Solanum lycopersicum: one gene and its partners. The protein of the gene in region 1 binds, or shares a complex with, the protein of each later gene. Links are inferred from orthologs where the notes say so. Each region holds a gene or a part of one and is shown in the gene's direction. Other genes may lie near its edges. The genes, in order: eukaryotic translation initiation factor 3 subunit A-like, eukaryotic translation initiation factor 3 subunit E and eukaryotic translation initiation factor 3 subunit K.

Region 1 (2,691 bases):
TTTCTGTTGACATTTCTTGAAGGAACGAGTGGAAGAGTCAAAGAGGCGAGAACATCAGAAGATGACAGAAGAGGCCGAGCAAAAAAGGGTTTCTGCTGAGCTAGAGCAAAGAAGGAACCAAAGGATTCTGAAAGAGATAGAGGACAGAGAACTCGAAGAGGCCCAAGCAATGCTGCAAGAAGCTGAAAAGCGCAGCAAGAGGAAGAAGAAACCAGTCTTAGATGGAGTACATACAAAATTTGGACCTTTTTTGGTTTATTTATTCAGATCTCTATAGAAATTCTTACTAATGTTAACCTAAGTGCAGGAAAAGATGACCAAAAAGGATATCATGGAGTTGGCATTACATGAGCAACTCAGGGAGAGGCAGGAAATGGAGAAAAAATGGCAGAAGTTTGCCAAAGTAATGGATTATTTGGAGAGAGCGAAGAGAGAAGAAGCAGCGCCTCTTATTGAATCTGCATTTCAACGGCATTTAGCTGAAGAGGCTACTCTTCATGAACGTGAGCAGCAGGTATGCATAGAATTAGCATTTGTTTTGCCTAACCACCATTAACAACCTATTGTTTGACATTTTCCTTGAATTCTTTCTGAAGGAACTAAATTTTGGTATTTCTTTTTGGTCAAATGTTGTTGATTAATGGATCTGGATTTACAACAATCTTGCAGCAAGAAATTGAATTGAGCAGACAACGACATGGTGGGGACCTTGTAGAGAAGAGTAGGCTGGGCCGCATGTTGGAGAATAAGGTCTCTTAATCTTAATTTTTTTTATTTGGTTGCATTATGTATTTGTGTCTTAGGACTATGTATTTGAGCTTATGGTTGTAAAGGGGCACTGCCTTTGATATTTGCTTCAACTAACTGAATTCTGTTATGCCACTGGCCTTTGGGAACCAAAGCTCACGGTTGTTGTTGGAAAAAGGTCTTTTGACATATTTTACACTTTGAATATGCTAGCGTTACACCATCAGCTGATATAGGCACTGATTTTGCAGAGAATATTCCAAGAAAGAGTTGTTAGCTGCAGGGAAGCCAAACTCAATAGCAAGAAACAGGAGAGACAAGAACAAATAAACCGGATAATTCAGACAAGGAAACAGGACAGGGACACTAGGAGGAAGCTGCTATTCTTTCTGCGAAAAGAGGAAGAACAACAGAAGAGGTTGCAGGAAGAGGAGGATGCGCGGAAACATGAAGGTATCCTTCTGGTTAAAGATGCATTTTACGCACTGCATTTCGATTTTCAATGAAGTGCGTTTCACCAAGACGTTTATGCTTCTGATAACATTTTAGCAGAGCATCATTTAATTGTCGTTGCTTATTTAAACCTGACCTTTTCGAGGTTATGCATACCGTCTGTAATGTACTCTCACCTTCGCAAGTCCTTTCATGCATGCGTCGTTGTCTGGTTTATAATCCTCAAGTGTTTAGGAGCTACACTGACCCCTCTCAAGTTCTTTTTATCCTTCACCAATCTACCCTTTTTCTTTTGGGGTTGTGGTTTTGAGTTGTCATTTATTGTCCATTTAGAATCCTATGACAATGCATTGAGAATTTTGCAGAGGCAGAGAAGCGAAAAAGAGAGGAAGCTGATCGGAAGTCCAAGTTAGATGCTATTGCAGAAAAGCAGAGGCAACGAGAGCTAGAACTTGAAGAGAAGAAAAGGCTGGAGAGAGAGGTGGTCTTGGGGAAATCCATGCCTATGTCACTTGAGCCTTCAACTATAGGTCGTCCCTCAGAAGCTGGAGCAACTGCACCTGCAGCAACAGCAGCTGCACCTACTCCCGGTAAGTTTGTGCCCAGGTTCAGAAGAGAGAAAATTGACGTAGCAGGCCAGTCTCCACCTCCCGAGACTGATCGGTGGAGCAGTGGTGGCAGGCGTGATGAACGAAACTCGTTTGGTGGTGGTTCAAGGACCAGTTGGTCATCCTCTAGGCGCAACTAATTGCAGTGAATCAGAGGCAGTAAATCAAGCCGTTTGCATAGTCGGGACACTTTTTTTACAAAATTTCAATTTTGGCTGTTAGTTATTGAAAACTTCTCTTTGTGTATCGGAAACAACCTCTCTGTCTTCTCAAGTTAGGGGAAGAGGTTTACGTACACCAACCTGTGGAATTACACTAATTTAGTCATTGAAATATTTGTTTTTTGGAAAATTTTCAAAATAACAATCTTTTAGTTTTTAGTGTGACTTCTTATTCATAGTTTCATTATTTATTAAAAATGTCATTATTTTAGTTTGTTAAAGAATTAATTATGTATTTATTATTATTCTGAAAAGAATATAAATAATTAGTTACAGAACATAGAAAATTATGGAACAAAAAAATTAAAAAAAGATTTTAATTTAATATAATACAATTAATTAATAACAAAATAGAGAAGATCAAGGAAAATAATATTTCAAATAAACTAATTTTTGAATTTAGACCAACAAAGTTACGTTACCATAATTATTAACTTTCCTATTATACGTGTTTGGTTCCACAATCGACATGATTTTTTTCCCTCTTATTCCTCAAATTTACAATACTAATTTTTAACACTTCATTGAAAATACTAAATCTATGTAGAATTGAAGTCGATTGATTTAAGATTTTTGCGAACAGTGAAGAAGATTTTACAATGAAAAAAATAAAAAATAAATACAAAATTTGTTGGCAAACAAAGTGAGCATAAAAAATCTAA
Region 2 (4,241 bases), about 2.8 Mb from region 1:
TCTTACTATGATTTACCAGCTTCGTTTTCGTTTGTTTTCAGTAGAGAGATGTTTGCTTCTGTTAGTTTTTGTAAACAGTTTCCAGGGTGAAGTTGAATTACTTGCTTGTAGAAGTCTAGTGTGTTGTAGAGCAGTTAATGGGCTATCAAAACTAAATCCTTTGTGTTTCTTTTGATGTGTTTACTATTCGATCATGACTACTTTAAAGAGTATTTGGTTCGGCTTATTTTAGAAAATAAAATATAAACAAATCTATTTCAAGGAGCCCAAAAGTCTACTTTTATCTTTATTTTAAGGTTAATAAAGGGTTGTGCTTTATTCATATGGAGTTTATTTGGTATTGAATTACAAGACTTTTCAGAATAATGTAGCCCTATGAATTAAAAACAAGAACGACAAGAATGATAATACTATTAGACCTCTTATCAAATTTATGCATAGTGATCTTTAATGAAAATAATTTTTAGCGGGATAAAATATTGACATTAATAAAGAGTGTTAAAGTCACATGGGCATTAGATAAGTGTCATTAAAATTAATATCGTTAAAGACTTTAGGAACATATAACGATCATTAGTTGGAATATGCTCTGGTGTTTTTTTTAGCCATATTTTGCCACTTTGGTAATAAAATGCATTCAGTTGCCCAAAAAAATAATTTAAGATAAGTTGTTTATTCTTTTTACTATAGCATGTGAATATATGGAACTCATCTTTATTTTAAAACTACTCCTAGGAGTAGTATATAGAGTTCAAAAAATGATAATCGAATATTATAAAATTAACATATTCGAGTGAAATTGTTTTGATGAAGCACGTTCACAGGGTCAAACAAAGATGGTGATAGTTAGTAATGATAATCGTGAAGTGATGACTATAAGTGATTGATTATAATTGTTAAAAATGAAGGTAATAATTGACGATATTAGTAAAAAAATGACGTATATTGTTATTGAAGATGGTTAGTGACATAGTATAATAAATAATGGTTGAAGGAGGTTGCAATTAGAGATACTAAGATTATTCGATAGTAGAAATAATTTGATGGTCATCGTTCGATAGTGGATCGATTATAAAAATTAATAATTATTGATAATAGTTAGCGTAATATTTAACAATATTATTATGATAATACTTTTACCTTATTGTTTTTAGAAATCAACACTTTTGGATTTTTTTAAAAATTCAATCAAACAAATTATTTTCTATCGTAAAAATCAAAACCAAAACAAAAAAAAAAGAAAAAGAAAAAGTAGTTGTATTGAAGATGGGGTTAAAGGTAACAATATTTAAAACCCAAGGGGGAGTTTCAACATTATTTATTCCTTACAGCAAAAAAGACGAAACCCTAGAAATCTTTCTTCTACCGATCCACTTCTCATCTTTTCAGTTTCTCTGGTTCTGCACGGCGGCGAGTTTTGTGGTTGCTATCTCTTACCGACAGTAGCAATCATGGCGTCGAAGTACGATTTGACGCCACGTGTAGCGCAGCAATTGGACATTCACTTGATTTTCCCGTTACTGGAGTTTTTGCAAGAGCAGGGATTATACCCAGATGAATATATACTCAAGGCGAAGATTGAGCTGCTTAATCACACTAACATGGTTGATTATGCTATGGATATTCATAAGTCTCTCTATCATACTGACGATGTGCCTCAAGGTATCATTTAATTTTTTCGCTTCGTGTTTCCAATTGATTTTTTTGTTTATTAATCTTAATACTTGTGCTTTTTTTTTTTAGCAAAAGGGGTTTTTTTTTGGGGGGGTGGGGTTGTGAATTTTATGGATATTGTTTATACAAGTTGTCTATGTGCTGTTCCTCAAGGTTATCTCTTTCCCCCCTTTGTAGTAGTGAATACGCATTGATTTGTGTGTTGTGTGGGGTGGGGTTGTACGTCAAGGTTTCTCTTTCTTTCCCTTTGGTATGAATGCCCGTTGATTTGTGCCCTTACTGATCGAAATACCTTGTGCCCTTTTCAGCATGAAGGTTTTCGTGTGTGGTGTGGGGTTGTTAGTTTTAATGGATATGGTCTCTATAGAAGTTGTAGAAGTTGTCCTTCAGGTGTCTCCTGTTTCCCTTCATATTGGTGTATGTTTACATATTGGTCCACGTATTGGTGAATGCTTATTTATTTGTTGCTTCACTTAATGCTTTTGCACTTTTAACAAAAGGTGTTCTTTTTTGGGGTGGTGATATGGTGGTAGTTGTAATTTTGATGGTTCTGGTCTGTAGAAGTTGTTTAAAATTTATTCGAAGGGGATAATCTGTATAGTTGATGTATAAGAGTAAAAAAATCTGGTGACTTAGCAGTGCCCTTTTTAGCATAGAAGTTGTTTTCTTGTGGGGGTATTGTAATTCTGTTGGGGCAGTCTCCGTAGGTTTTCTTTGGAGTTGTCCCTTGAGGAATCTGTATAGTTGTGATCAGATAGAGATTTGATATGGGAGGCAATTTTGACGTTGTTGTCTGGATTTTCTGTTTGAGCTTTACAGTAAATGCATGCAATGTATGTAGATTAAAACCTTCTTGGTGTACTTAGATAAGATAAACTGTTGGTACACATACGTGTCGGTACAGAGTCTAACCATTTGCGACTTGCCCTCAGGGATTCCTCTGTTATTAAAAAAGTTTAGTTTGAGCAGAAGTGATTTTGGGAGTTCCTTTACATGTTTAAATTCTGCACTGTCTTTATAATTGCCGTTTGATTGTTCAGAAATGATGGAGAGGAGAGCCGAGGTTGTGGCAAGGTTGAAAGCACTTGAGGAAGCTGCAGCCCCATTGATCACTTTTTTGCAGAATTCCAGTGCTGTGCAGGAGTTGAGAGCTGACAAACAGCACAATCTTCAGTTGCTCCAGGAGCGGTACCAGGTGCATAGATCTAGTTTGATTTACATGATATAGAGTTCCTTCTTCTTTAGTACTTAATGTTGTATAATTAATAATATACTTGTTAAAGGGATCACAAACAGAAGTTGGTCTCTAGCTAATTTTGTGAATATACATTTTTTATTTTAGTAATGCTCTTACAAACCTGTCCAGATTGGTCCGGACCAGATAGAGGCATTGTATCAATATGCCAAATTTCAGTTTGAATGTGGAAACTATTCTGGTGCTGCTGATTATCTTTACCAGTACCGAGCATTGTGCACAAACAGTGACAGGAGCGTCAGTGCATTGTGGGGAAAGCTTGCAGCGGAGATACTAATGCAGAATTGGGATATTGCACTCGAGGAACTCAACCGCTTGAAAGAAATTATCGACTCAAAGGTAATATTTTGCATATATTGAGTCAACAATCTGTCTGTTTGAGTTAGTCTTACCAAGTTGAGTATCCTGTAGGAAAAAACTGAATGATCCTCAGTTTACCAAGTGTACTAAAAGTGTCGCTTGTCTTGCAGAGTTTCTCTACTCCGTTGAATCAAGTTCAGAATAGAATATGGCTAATGCATTGGAGTCTATTCATCTTCTTCAACCATGACAATGGCAGGACACTGATCATTGACCTGTTTAACCAGGACAAGTATGCCAACTGTACTTTAGTTGCTATTGCTTATAGATGATTGTTTTCATTTGCTGCTTCATTTTAGATTTCCCCATCCTGTTTGAGCTAGGCATTTTTTCTGATACTATCACCTACCGAGTATGATGTAGAGAAATATTTTAGGAAGCTCCGATTACCTAGTTCTTTCCCTTAGTGGGAAAATGGAGAAAACTAGATGAATTAGAATGAAACATGATCTGGAGGGTCAGGAACACACTGTATTTCTTATTTGCATACAGCAGAATTATGTTTGAAATATAGTTTTCTTATTCCAAAATGTTTGAAATAAATATTGCTCTTCTTTTGTGGTAACATACATTAAGACAGTATTCTTCTTGATATGTCTCGATTAAAGTAGCTGTTATTTTTCCTTTTGTTGGTATTCTATGGATTTACATCTTCCCTTTGAGCTTTTCTAAATCATTGAAGTCTTGCAGATACTTGAATGCCATTCAAACAAGTGCTCCCCACTTGCTGCGGTACTTGGCTATTGCATTTATTGTCAACAAAAGAAGAAGACCTCAATTTAAGGACTTTATAAAGGTTATTCAGCAGGAGCAACACTCTTGTAAAGATCCCATCACAGAGTTTTTGGCATGTATTTACGTCGACTATGATTTTGATGGGGCACAGGAGAAGATGAAGGAGTGCGAAGAGGTAAGCTTTTGTGCGTAGCTTATCCGCTTTGATGCATGGTCA
Region 3 (4,408 bases), on another chromosome or scaffold:
ATATCTGCATTCACTTGTGTACTCTTTGTAATAAGAAATTATGCATGTCCTACTCTGATTGTCTATTTTTCATTTCTTTTCTAGAGTACATAACTTTAACTCTATTCAATTGTATGTTTGCAACTATGATTACTTTAATGATTGAATTTGATATAGTCACATTTAATTATAGAAAGTATGTTCCTCATTTTGGTATATTTGGTTACTATAAAATCATAACTTTTGGGATTCTCAATCTGCACAAACTCAGTTAGTATGAAGATCTTGTTATAAGAAGTTGGGGATACAAAAGTAACGGAGATGGTACTCAATCTTTTAACTTTTTTGGATGCCTCAGGGATTTAGATTTTACGTTAAGTTGATATGGCACATTTAATTAGATATGTTGTGTTACACTTTGTCTAAGTAAATATTTATTATTAACATAACTTCACCATAAAACTATCGCCTTTGGCTGTAAATTTGTGAAATTAATGTAGTATATTATGTCTCAGTTGTTTGTTGTAGTATCTCTCTTACTTTCTTGCCAATATCTCTATCATTTATTTTTAGGTACTTTGACATCTTGCAATTTCATAAATGTTGTGACTGGATAAGCTTGCGTGGATTCCAATTGTACCATGTTGTTCTAGACTAAGATACCATCATCTTGTAACTAAAAACTCCTAACACTCTTTGACTTTTTGGGTTTTATTATCACTACTACTGCAACAACTTTTGAATCAGTGCATCTGCACGACATGTTTGTGTCTATTGTAAATATTGTGAACCTTATATATAGTAGTGTGACATCAAGCTTGTATTTAAGTAGTCTTGTGCTCAATAATTTGTTCAAGATTCTTGGTAAACTCCAATTTCAGTGGCTTTCGTCATTTCTTTCCTCTGGCCTTTTTCTAAAGGAATTAGATTATCAATTTCCTTAAGTTATATTGTTTGTCACCAAGCAATGTTAACGTGGTACAATACTAGATATTTATTATATTTATCTCTTATAGGCACCAATCATTTTTTTTTGTTCGTTTTTATCTTCTCTATTTTTCATATTTATTAATTTACTTTTACAAATAAAATCAATGCATAATTAATAATATATTACTTATTTATATTATTTATAACTCATATTTTTTCATCTTGCTTCTAATTTCCACTCTTCAATATTTTTCATAACTTCTTATGTTTTATTTCACAATATTTAATTAATGTTTTAAAAATTATTATAAATAATTTTAATAATAAAGATACAATGAAGAAATTCATTTATTTTTTTACGAAGTTAGAATTTGTATATAGAATCAGGTAATCTCGTCCCTACGAGGACATCCGATAAAAAAATCAAGTGATCCCATAAAAAATATAAATAATATTCAAATATAAAAAATATTTTGATGTAGCATAAAATATTATTATTTTAAGATATGACCTCTTATTCATTTGCTTTATCACAATAAACATTTTATCTTACTATATATGTATGAATATTTGTACTTAAAAAGATGAAAATAATAATATTCTTTTATATATATCCCGCACTAACATAAAAATATAAATATTTTTAATACTCAATTAAAACAAGATTGTTCATTAAATTATTATATGAACATATAATTATGCGAAGAGCGAACAATTTCACTTATGAAATATAATAATGTCAGAAAAAAATTTCAATTTAAATCAATCTAATTTCAAATCATATTCAAGGATTGAGAGAAATTTGAAGGGTATATCCGTCACAAACAAATAATCCCTCCCGTATCTCTTACTCTCGCCCTCTTAACCCTAAAACCTCCGTTCAGCTGTACTGCAAGTGCAACCCCTTTTGGCTCCTCTCTTCACCTTCCAATTTGTTCGAAAGCAGTCAGATACAGTTTACAAAATGGTTCAAGAGGCGACTAATGGTGGTTCCGAGAAGTCACAGTTGGCTATCACTGTAGAACAGCTCATTGCCGTTAACCCTTACAATCCAGATATCCTCCCTGATCTTGAAAACTATGTCAACGAACAGGTACACCAATTCACCATCGTTCATCACTCCAAAAATTAATCTTTTTGTAATGGGTTGCCAACCCCTTTTCAGATTTTTGTTTCTGCTGAATTTTCCGTTGTTATTGATTGAGTAATCCCAATGTTAATTTAGGTTTTGTCTCAAACATACAATCTGGATGCAAACCTTTGCCTGCTCCGTCTTTATCAGGTTTATATCGTTATTTTGAGAATTAATCATGGAGGTTTGTTTGTTGTTTGATTTTGTTTTTTTTTTATTTGTTTGGATGTGTGCAGTTTGAGCCGGACAGAATGAGTACACCAATTGTTGCTCGTATTTTGGTTAAGGTGCAATCAAGTTCTTGTTTTGCATACTGTGATATTACTTGTTGCCTCTGTTATTATCTAACTTATTATTTGCTTGGTTGTATTGATAGGCCTTAATGGCAATGCCAGCTCCAGATTACAGCCTGTGTCTCTTCCTAATCCCCGAACGAGTGGTATATATCTCTGAAGCTGCCTTGATTATGACTTTACCTTTGATGAATATGAATTGTAAATTTTGCTAGTCTTGTGTACTCTGCTGGAAAACATAAAAACTGTCACAGCCAAAGATGTAGGTAGATTTGTTACTACCCCTATTTGTGACCAGGAATATTAGCTATTCTCAGTCATGCCTAACACAGCTTGACAGTTGTTTCATGGCTTGTGTAAAATGAAAAAGGAAGGCAGTTGATCAGATGACATAATTCTACTATAAAAATACCCCAAAAGATCTTCCTATATTTCTAAATTTTTGAATACTCATTTGTCATCTCCTGCTGTGTATCCAACTAGATTGGAGGTACATCATTTTATTTTATAGCTGGCAGTTTGGGAAGGTTGCTTTGTTGGTTCAGAAATGTCCTCGTGCTAAGTTTTGAGGAAATTAGATAAACAGGAAAGTCTGAAACAAATAAATAGATACATAGTGATGTACGATATTTGGTGTTGCTCTATATATAAACCGATATCTGCAACATAAAGGTTGTAAAACTGAGCAACAACAACATACCCCAGTGTAGTTCCACAAGTGGGGTCTGGGGAGGGTAGGATGTACACAAACCCTTACCCCTACCTTTGTGGGGTAGAGAGGTTGTTTCCCAGAAGTTCTTCATTTCCTTATGTTGGTATTCTTTAATTTCTTAGCTAGTATAGTTTCATATTTGTTAATGAAATGCATCCTATGATGTACACAACCTTACCCCCCACTTTTGTGGGGTAGAGAGGTTGTTTCCCCGTAAGTTCTCCATTTTCTTGTATTGGTGTTCTTAAATTTCTTAGCTAGTATAGTTTCCTATTTGTTAATTAAATTCATCCAAAGGGATATTGAGGAGGGTGAGGATATACATAGCTGGCCCAAACAAGATTGGGATTGAGGAACAGTTAAGGTTGTTTCCTAGAAGTTCTTCATTTCCTTTTGAGGGGCACTTTCATGTACACTCTTTTTGCTGCAACCCCCATAGACATCTATTTATTGTTGCTCAACTTTGCAAACACTTTTCGCCTTAATTTTCTTTACTGTTTCACTGGGGTTGTGGTCATTGTGGTGATTTTTTTGGGAGCAAGGCAGAATGCATGCTTTGACATCTACATATGAATCTTCAACTGTGTTAGATGCATTGCCCTATCCTTTTTTCTTCATAATGATTTTCTCATTTCATTCCTCAGCAAATTGAAGAGCAATTCAAGACACTAAATGTTCTGTCACACTTCTTAGAGGTATGCCATGTTGTGTTTGCTGAAAGTTTCTTCCAACTCTGTAGTTAACCCAACAAGTACACACATCTTTTTGCAGACTGCAAGGTTCCGCCAATTTTGGGATGAAGCTGCAAAGAGCCGCCACATTGTGGAAGCTGTTTCTGGTATTACTGAATGCTTTAATCCACCCCTCATCCACAGTGTTCAATAGTAGCAATACGGATGCAATAAGAAACCTATTTGTTATACGTAATAAGTGTCAGATTTTGCGGCAACATGCTTAAAACTGTGGAGAGAGAGACATTTTATGAAGTGATTGAGTTTCAAATCATTTCCTTGACCCTATTTATTCCAACTATTAGTAGTAAAAATTTTGTTTCAGATATAACCCATCAATATTCTTGAGTTTTTGACTACCCAAAAAAAATTCCTAGAGTGTTTCTTGTTGACAATTACACTTGGCCCCACCTATTTACAACAAAATGAATGAAGCACAGAATATAACATTCTAAACCCCTCATATTAACCACATAATCTAGGTATTATCTCCATATACTTGATCCTCTCCTTGCCCAAAATGAATGAAGTACAGCGTATAATATTTATAACCCCTCATATTAACCACATGATCTGGATATTATCTCCATATAGTGTTAATCCTCCCCTTGCCCACAATGTGCAATAGCAG

The links.
Region 2: eukaryotic translation initiation factor 3 subunit A-like (region 1) and eukaryotic translation initiation factor 3 subunit E share a complex: the UniProt entries of both Arabidopsis thaliana proteins name them as parts of the eukaryotic translation initiation factor 3 (eIF-3) complex. The link is inferred for Solanum lycopersicum from reciprocal best matches to the Arabidopsis thaliana genes EIF3A and EIF3E.
Region 3: eukaryotic translation initiation factor 3 subunit A-like (region 1) and eukaryotic translation initiation factor 3 subunit K share a complex: the UniProt entries of both Arabidopsis thaliana proteins name them as parts of the eukaryotic translation initiation factor 3 (eIF-3) complex. The link is inferred for Solanum lycopersicum from reciprocal best matches to the Arabidopsis thaliana genes EIF3A and EIF3K.

Annotation. Positions count from the first base shown.
Region 1 is NC_090809.1:63,308,199-63,310,889, forward strand, and holds the end of eukaryotic translation initiation factor 3 subunit A-like, read left to right. Parts: intron 1-22; coding exon 23-226; intron 227-307; coding exon 308-514; intron 515-669; coding exon 670-750; intron 751-998; coding exon 999-1,200; intron 1,201-1,565; coding exon 1,566-1,948; 3' UTR 1,949-2,188; downstream 2,189-2,691. UniProt on the Arabidopsis thaliana protein: RNA-binding component of the eukaryotic translation initiation factor 3 (eIF-3) complex, which is involved in protein synthesis of a specialized repertoire of mRNAs and, together with other initiation factors, stimulates binding of mRNA and methionyl-tRNAi to the 40S ribosome.
Region 2 is NC_090809.1:60,505,684-60,509,924, reverse strand, and holds the start of eukaryotic translation initiation factor 3 subunit E, read left to right. Parts: upstream 1-1,301; 5' UTR 1,302-1,451; coding exon 1,452-1,662; intron 1,663-2,714; coding exon 2,715-2,869; intron 2,870-3,040; coding exon 3,041-3,268; intron 3,269-3,399; coding exon 3,400-3,521; intron 3,522-3,979; coding exon 3,980-4,199; intron 4,200-4,241. UniProt on the Arabidopsis thaliana protein: Component of the eukaryotic translation initiation factor 3 (eIF-3) complex, which is involved in protein synthesis of a specialized repertoire of mRNAs and, together with other initiation factors, stimulates binding of mRNA and methionyl-tRNAi to the 40S ribosome.
Region 3 is NC_090806.1:58,132,987-58,137,394, forward strand, and holds the start of eukaryotic translation initiation factor 3 subunit K, read left to right. Parts: upstream 1-1,572; 5' UTR 1,573-1,873; coding exon 1,874-2,002; intron 2,003-2,134; coding exon 2,135-2,191; intron 2,192-2,277; coding exon 2,278-2,328; intron 2,329-2,417; coding exon 2,418-2,480; intron 2,481-3,690; coding exon 3,691-3,741; intron 3,742-3,817; coding exon 3,818-3,884; intron 3,885-4,408. UniProt on the Arabidopsis thaliana protein: Component of the eukaryotic translation initiation factor 3 (eIF-3) complex, which is involved in protein synthesis of a specialized repertoire of mRNAs and, together with other initiation factors, stimulates binding of mRNA and methionyl-tRNAi to the 40S ribosome.